Linked DNA regions of Macaca fascicularis. The protein of the gene in region 1 interacts with the protein of each later gene in a biochemical or structural test. Links are inferred from orthologs where the notes say so. Each region holds a gene or a part of one and is shown in the gene's direction. Other genes may lie near its edges.

Region 1 (3,806 bases):
GTAGGTCTTATTCGTTCTTTCTATTTTTTTTTGTACCCTCTAACCATCCCCACCTCCCCGCTGCCCTCCCACTATCCTTCCCAGCCTTTGGTAACCATCCTTCTACTCTCTCTGTCCATGAGTTCAATTGTTTTGATTTTTAGATCCCACAAATCAGGGAGAAGATGCAATGTTTGTCTTTCTGTGCTTGGCTTATTTCACTTAACATAATGACCTCCAGTTCCATCCACGTTGTTGCAAATGACTGGATCTCACTCTTTTCATTCACTTTTTTTTTTTTTGAAATGGAGTCTCACTCTGTCGCCCAGGCTGGAGTGCAGTGGCGAGATCTCAGCTCACTGCAACCTCCACCTCCTGGGTCCAGGCAATTCTTCTGCCTCACGCTCCCGAGTAGCTGGGACTATAGGCACTTGCCACCACGCCCAGCAAATTTTTGTGTTTTTTTTTTTTTTTGAGACGGAGTCTCGCTCTGTCTCCCAGGCTGGAGTGCAGTGGCCGGATCTCGGCTCACTGCAAGCTCCGCCTCCCGAGTTTACGCCGTTCTCGTGCCTCAGCCTCCCGAGTAGCTGGGACTACAGGCGCCTGCCACCTCGCCCGGCTAGTTATTTTGTATTTTTTAGTAGAGACGGAGTTTCACTGTGCGTGTTAGCCAGGATGGTCTCCATCTCCTGACCTTGTGATCCGTCCATCTTGGCCTCCCAAAGTGCTGGGATTACAGGCTTGAGCCACTGCGCCCCGCCTAAATTTTTGTGTTTTTAGTAGAGACGGGGTTTTACCATATTGGCCAGGCTGGTCTCAAACTCCTGACCTTGTGATCCGCCCACCTTGGCCTCCCAAAGTGCTGGGATTACAGGCGGGAGCCACCGCACTTGGCCTCATTCACTTTTTAGCACCCCTTGCTTATCAGTTAAACACTCCCCTCCCTCAATATAATCAGTAAGTCTTGCAAGTTCAGTTGTTGGTTGAGCATTTTTATTATAGATTAGTGAATTCTATTGATTGTATCTCATTCACACAGATCTACTCCTCTTTCGTACACCCTGTCCCCATTTCTTTCCCCTTCTCTTGTCCTTCTAATTAAGACCCACATTTTCAGTTGAAGCAGGAAGCAATTTACAGTGTGGGTGTCACAAATGATTACAATGGAGCGCAGACACAGTTGCTGTAAAAACACCTACTACACCCATGAAAATAACCCGCGTTTTCTGGAGCCTGCTCACGGGCCAGCTAGTGAGCAATGGAAGCACTCCCGTTAATCATCTCATTTAGTCCTCAGGACAGCCCTCAGAAGTGACACATTATCCTTTTCTATAGATGAGCCTCAACTAAAGCACAGTGAAATTAGTAATTTCCCCAAATTAACGCTCCATAGCAGAACTCCACTAATAAGATCCTAACCGGGCTTCCAACACGGGTAGCCAAACATCGGGGCATTGCCTCTCACCACTGTGGTTCCCCTGTATCTCCACCACACCTTCCTTATGTGAGCTTCTTTCTTGTCTTGTTCCTTCTTCTCACCTTTGCCTCATCACCTCTTCCTTGACCACAGCCACTACTGTCTCTCCTTCTTGCTTCCTCTTCCTTCTTTCTAGCATGTGGGTTTCTGGTGGTGCCATAAACACTGGCATCGAGACCTAGAATGCTGCTGACATGTCTTGGTAAAGATACATTGGACCTGTGCACTTAAGGAAGGGTTGGGCTCCAGGAGCCTAACCTCTGCTCTAACTATGGAAAATGTTTTGTTTCTGTTTCCGTTTAGATTCTTAGATTACCTCTCCGACCTCTGTGTCTCCATGAACAAATCGATTCCAGTGACCCAGGAGCTAATATGTAAAGCTGTACTGAATCCCACCAATGCTGACATCCTGATTGAGACCAAGTGAGTGGGGAGCTGGGGTTTAGATGGAAAACATGTGGTTCATTCCGTGTTGGCGCTCATGAGGAATAAAACCTAGCCCTATCGTTTTTTGAGTTGATCTAAAGTCAGCATGGCTGGCATTTGATCTTCCTATTGGAAAAGTCTTGATTAGGAGAATTACTGAATTTGATTTTGGTGTGGCCTCCTCTGCATAGTGGTGTCACTTACTTTGCATACAAGTTTAAAAGTCATGTAAACTCACTGGGGAGCAATTTACACAGTTACATTTTAAGAGTTTAAAACTCTCTGTGTGACCGTCAATCTAAAATTTCAAATGACATAATTAATATTCAGTGTTAAGATTAAGTCAATGTTGGGAGGAGTTTTAAGTTATTACTCTTCAGAATGTGTTTATTGGTCTGAAGAATTTTTCTTAACAGTAGTAATTCATTTTTGGCAAAGGAACAGTTTTCCTGAGAACTATAGTGCCAGTAATATGGGCAACATTTAAAAAAAATTACTAAATTATGTCCTGAGCTAGTGATACTGCATTGATTCTCATGTATAACTCAGTTTTGGGCTTGGGCTACTGCAGGGTTTTTCAGTTTAGGTATTTTCATATTTCGGGCTGGGTAATCCTTTGTTGTGGCTCTGTTCTAGGCACTGTAAAATGTTTAGCAGCATCCCTGGCCCCTACCCACTTAGATGCCAGTAGCACCTCTCCATTTCAGTTGTGACAACCAAAAACCTGTCCAGAGACATTGCCTAATGTCCACTGGGAGCAGCAGCACCACAGTCAAGAACCACTGGGTTACGGTATAAGAAGATGTTAATGTCAGGCTCTCTGCGGCTCTGCCCTTGGGTGAAATACAAAACAAAAAGTGGCTTTCCGTGTGTCTTTATGCTGAAAGTGAAGCTAGATATCAAAGTATTTTAAAAAATAGAGTTTTTCCTTCTTCTTGTTTTCCAGGTTGGTTCTTTCTCGTTTTGAGTTTGAAGGCGTTTCTTCCACTGGAGAGAATGCTCTGGAGGCAGGAGAAGACGAGGAAGAGGTGTGGCTGTTTTGGAGGGACAGCAACAAAGAGATTCGTAGCAAGAGTGTGAGGGAGTTGGCGCAGGACGCTAAAGAAGGGCAGAAGGAGGACCGAGACGTTCTCAGCTACTACAGGTGCGTGGGACACATGTGGGGCTCAGATTGGGTTGCCCCAAAACAGTGGCACTTAGGAATTTGTTGCTCGTTTGTTGATTACTTCAAGGAATCGCAAGGTGTCATCTTGTGAGATTGTCTTGAAAAAAGCCAGATGTGTATTTTAGGAGTTTAGAGTATAAGATTTCAGTCAATTGACATCTGGATGTGGCTGGGTCCCAAGAAGGATGAGTGCTCACATCAGTCCCTGGTGACAATTTATCCTTAAGCAGCATGGCCTGTAGATATGGTGGTAGGTACGTAAGGGGTAGGCTGTGGGGTGAAATCCTGACCTCTCCACTTACCAGCTTTTTGACACTGGCCAAGTTTGATTTTATGCTCTAATTTCTTTATCTGCAAAATAAAGGTGATAGTGCCAATCTCACCAAATGTTTATAGACAGAGCCAGAAGATGTATGTATGTATATACATATATCTACATACTCATCCACATATCTATTTCTATAACTACACAAATATATAATAAAAATCATGTGCTTACACTAATACTTCCAATTCCATTCCAACACCATGGGGTTTATTCTAGCCTTCATTTTTTCCATTTCATGACTCGTTCCAGCTGCCGTGATTCCCTGTATGTTTCCCTGTCTGCCCGTTCCCCTGTGTGTACCTGTCTCACCTCTGCTGGCCACCTCCTCAGTCCCCAGTGTCTGCTTGGCTCCAGCTCGAAGACCTGCCAGCCCTGCCACCTGAAGGGAAGGGAAGGGGAAGAAAGAAGGGAAGTGAACCAATAAATACTTT
Region 2 (4,410 bases), on another chromosome or scaffold:
CTCCTGCCTCAGCCTCCTGAGTAGCTGGGACTACAGGCGCCCGCCACCTCGCCCGGCTAGGTTTTTTTGTATTTTTTAGTAGAGACGGGGTTTCACCGTGTTAGCCAGGATGGTCTCGATCTCCTGACTTTTTGTGATCCGCCCGTCTCGGCCTCCCAAAGTGCTGGGATTACAGGCTTGAGCCACCGCGCCCGGCCCATTTTTGTATTTTTAATAGAGACGGGGTTTCACCATGTTGGCCAGGCTAGTCTTGAACTCCTGACCTCAAGTGATCTGCTGGTCTTGACCTCCCAAAGTGCTGGCATTACAGGTGTGAGCCACTGTGCCCAGCCTTGTGTATCCTTTTAATGAGGCCGAGCAGTGACCAGACGGTGGATGGCATTGGGGCCAGGGACCAGAACAGGGAGAGCCTGGGAGGAACCCCTCTAGCCCCCTGCAAATCTCAAGCACCGGATACTAAAGAAGAGTGGTAGATGGGGCCTCATGAGATGCAGGGGGAAGGTAACTGGCTTAACTGGATGGTTCCCTGTCCAAGCACTGGGCTAGGCCTTTTGTGTGCATAGTATCGTCTACTGTTACCAAGAAATTAGTTATACTTATCATCTGCATCTTACAGAAGAGGAGAACAAGACTCAGAGAGGTTGGTGACACCTGCCCAAGTTACCCAGATGGCAGGTGGCAGAGCTGGGATTTGAGATTCAAATCAGGCCTGGGAGGCTCTCTGGCTGCCCACCAAGAGCAGGAATTTCTGTAGCATCTAGAAAGGCATGAAGGTGAAAGAGGCGACAAGAGCTGGAGGGGCAGCAAATGGGTCCTACCTGAGAGTTGACCATCATCAGGTGCTGTCCAGACCTGGCTTCTCTTCTATTCTGAGAACTGATATCCTGTGACTGACTTACCAGGCTCGTCCTAGTCCCCCCGCACGATATTGGGAGTGGAGGCAGCCCTCCACGGAGGCGCTGAGAGCCTTTACTCCCAGCAGTGTCCTGTCACTGCATTCCGGCCCCTGCGTTTGTAGGCAGTGGTGTCATAGAGTGCCTTCATGCTCCTCGGGTCTCCGGTTCTCCCTGGACCTCTGTGGTCCTCACTGCCAAAGTTGTACCCCCTGGGGAGTGCACCCTGCCTGCATTTCTGGAGGTTCGGGCGGTTCCGGGACTCTGCAGGAGCCTCCAGGCGTGATAAAGAGCGCTGCCGGCACTCTCGGGGTCTCGGCCTCTTTGGGGCCCCTTGCCAAACCCCTTCCCTCCTCGCGCTCCCGCTCAGCGTTGCAGCGTCCCCTTCGCCGCCAGGGGCCGCCCGGAAGCGGGGCTCCCCAGGGCGGGGCGTGGCAAGGGGCGGGGCGCGGCGGTACCTGGGCCGCCAGGGAGCCGGGGGTGGGCTCTCCGGGGACAGCCGGCAGCGCCCCCAGATCTGCACCGCCAGCCGCCGGGAGCTCCGGGCTCCGGGCATAGAGGCTGCGCTGTCACATGGGCGGCGGCGACGGGGCCGCATTTAAGCGGCCGGGGGACGGCGCCCGCCTCCAGCGCGTCCTCGGGCTTGGCTCCCGCCGGGCGCCCCGTTCTCTGCCCGCCGGGGGCCCCGCGCCACGCCGCACCGCGCCGCCCCCGCCGGGCCATGCGAGCGCGGGCCCCGCCGCGATGAGCTCGCACATCGCCAAAAGCGAGTCCAAGACGTCGCTGCTGAAGGCGGCGGCGGCGGCGGCGAGCGGGGGCAGCCGGGCTCCCCGCCACGGCCCTGCCCGGGACCCGGGGCTGCCCAGCCGCCGGCTAACTGGCTCCTGCCCGGGGACGCCGCAGTCGTCCGGGGACCCCAGTTCGCGGAGGCCCCTGTGCCGGCCGGCGCCGCGAGAGGAGGGCGCGCGGGGGAGCCAGCGTGGGCTCCCCCAGGCGCACTGCAGGCCCCGGGAGGCGCTGCCGGCCGTGGCGTCCCGACCTTCGCCGTCGTCGCCGCTGCCGCCGGCCCGCGGGCGGGATGGGGAGGAACGGGGACTGTCCCCGGCGCTTGGCTTCCGGGGCTCTCTGCGAGCCCCGGGCCGCGGGGACTCCGTTCCAGCCGCCGCGTCCGAGGCGGACCCGTTCCTCCACAGGCTGCGCCCCATGCTCAGCTCCGCCTTCGGCCAGGTAAGGGCCGCGCCTCCCGTCAGCGCTCCCGGGAAAGGCGCTCGGGACCCTGCCGGCCGCGGCTGCGCGTCCACAGCCTCCTCCTGCGGCCCGTGGCCCCCCTCCCCCGGGTCACGCCTCGGCTCACCCGGTCCTCCCCGGGCCGGCGCCCTTGCCGGCACTCCTCCTCCCCGTGCCTGGTTCAGCACCCCGTGCGCTGTCCACGCTCCGGGCCTCTTCGGGGCAAGGCCCTCCCCCATAACCTCCCTCATACCTGCCGGAACCCGCCAGTCCTGGAAGAGAGCGACCTCTATGACCCTCCTGGAGATTTGCGGGGGTCGAGGAGGGGCGCTCCGAGCAGGTGGCGCCAAACCCACTCCTCTGGCCTCTGGCCAGTACTGCCGGGGAGCGACTCAGGAGAGCAAGCGGTTTGGAGTCTGGGGGTCAAGAGAGGAGATCTCAGAGAACACAGAATTACTTGAGGGCGAGGGACATTAGCCACTGCCTATCATGTACCTGAAGGCCTGGGAAAAGTTAGGAGATTCAAAAATATGAGGAAAGAGAAGAGATATCTGGGTAGGCATGGAGGGACATGCAGAGCTGTGGCTCAAACTGGAACTTTGGAGTGGTTTAAGGAGACTGTCACTCCAGGGATGCCATTGTAAGGGTCAGAAAGGCCACGAAGAGGTCATCAGTGGTTCCCGCAACCTTTTCCTCAAGAGTCCCAGGCACCTGGGCACCTGCCCTTTAAAAACTGCTCCGTAGTCACAATCCAGGTCTACAGTTGGGGGCTGTGCTGCTGGGGAGACAGCTCAGTAGAAGGAAACCTCTGAACTCCCGAGCAAAAAAGCCAGGGTTTCCCCTAGTTCGGAGTCTGTAATCAAGTCAAACTCATTGGCACAGCTTTGAGACAGTTCTGTGGCAGCCTCTGAGAGGTGTCATGCAGAGGTCTGATTAGAGCGTTTGCATGGTTTGTAGGGAAACAGGGGGGCCTGCGCCTTTCTGTGCTAAGATCTAAAATAAAGAAGCTGTTTCAAGCTCGTGGCTTGCCACGCCGGATCAGAATTCCAAGGAGGCCCTGTGTGTTTTGCTTCAGATCTGCACATTTCTTTTCAAAATACTACTCTGCAGTGGCTGATGCTGGTGGAGGTCTGACATGAAGGCAGCTGCACATGGATTTGGGTTGCGTGGGGCTGCTGTGGTGGGGCCATAGGGCAGCGGTGTGTGGCTTTGTTCCTGCAGGGAGCCCTCGTTAGCCGAGTTAGCTGGAAACAGTTCTCTGGAGTAGAGGTTTGGATGCAGAGCCGTGAGAGTTAGTGAGGCGATGTGTTAGGGGAGTTCATTGCAGTGGTTTGTGTTAATGAGGAGGTGTAGGCTGTCAGGGCACTAGTGGTCTTTGGATTGGGGCTGGGTTGCAGCAGGAATGCTGGTTTGTTGAATGGGTGATACCGATTCATTCATTTATCAATTACTTCTTGAGCATTTATTAAGGAAACCTTCAGGGGTTTCCTTAGTTCCTGTGGTTTGTTTGTTCAGACATTTGCTAGACACCAGGAGGACAACGGTGAACCAGGTAGCCAGGGCCCTGGCTGAACCTAGCAGTGTGGAACGGCAGGCCATTGGCTAGAATCATACACTTTCTGGTTACTCAGTTTGCTGCTGATCTGACTCAGCTCCTGAAAAAAAAAAAAAAAGAGTCCTTTCTTTCCTGTCTTGCAGAATTTGCCTGCATGAGCCCTTTCTGAGCTCCGAGCATTGTAGTGACGTACTTTTGTTTTTCCTTCTGATTTCTCAGTCATTAAATGAATTATCCAGCCCAATGTTCTGAAATGTCACCAGGGTCACCTGAGTCAGGAGGAGCTGGAAGTTCCCATCAAATATTTACTACCTCCCTCTGGAAGCTCTTGCGTCTCAGAGCTGCGGGCTTTTACTTTAAAGCCCAGCACATTCAGTTTGGGCTTCCATTTGACACCTCCAAGTCACCTACGTGAGCCACAACAACAAACCCAGGCTGGGACTTTTATGTCAGAGCCTCCAGTCTCCTGTGACAGAGAGGAATTAATCTTTTCTTCCCTTTTCTCTGAATTGAGATTTCGGTCCTTAGAGGTAGGGTCAGAAGCAAGAGAAGGCAGATGGGGTTCTGAATACAGAAACTTTTAGTTAAGATCTGCTTAGGACAAAATACAGCCCTGGGGAAGTATAATTTTCATGTCTCCCCAAGTTTCATTTGTTTTTAACTTAACTGAATTGCTTAACCTCATTAAGTCTATTTCTTTTTTAAAAAATATTTTTTATAATAGAGACAGGGTCA

What was found.
Region 2: the proteins of ITPR1 (region 1) and CABP1 form a complex in vitro, tested with the Homo sapiens proteins (2 studies listed by BioGRID). The link is inferred for Macaca fascicularis from reciprocal best matches to the Homo sapiens genes ITPR1 and CABP1.

The regions. Positions count from the first base shown.
Region 1 is NC_088376.1:142,893,963-142,897,768, forward strand, and holds part of ITPR1 (inositol 1,4,5-trisphosphate-gated calcium channel ITPR1), read left to right. Parts: intron 1-1,759; coding exon 1,760-1,879; intron 1,880-2,828; coding exon 2,829-3,026; intron 3,027-3,806. UniProt on the Homo sapiens protein: Inositol 1,4,5-trisphosphate-gated calcium channel that, upon inositol 1,4,5-trisphosphate binding, mediates calcium release from the endoplasmic reticulum (ER).
Region 2 is NC_088385.1:127,678,580-127,682,989, forward strand, and holds the start of CABP1 (calcium-binding protein 1), read left to right. Parts: upstream 1-1,406; 5' UTR 1,407-1,466; coding exon 1,467-2,120; intron 2,121-4,410. UniProt on the Homo sapiens protein: Modulates calcium-dependent activity of inositol 1,4,5-triphosphate receptors (ITPRs). Inhibits agonist-induced intracellular calcium signaling.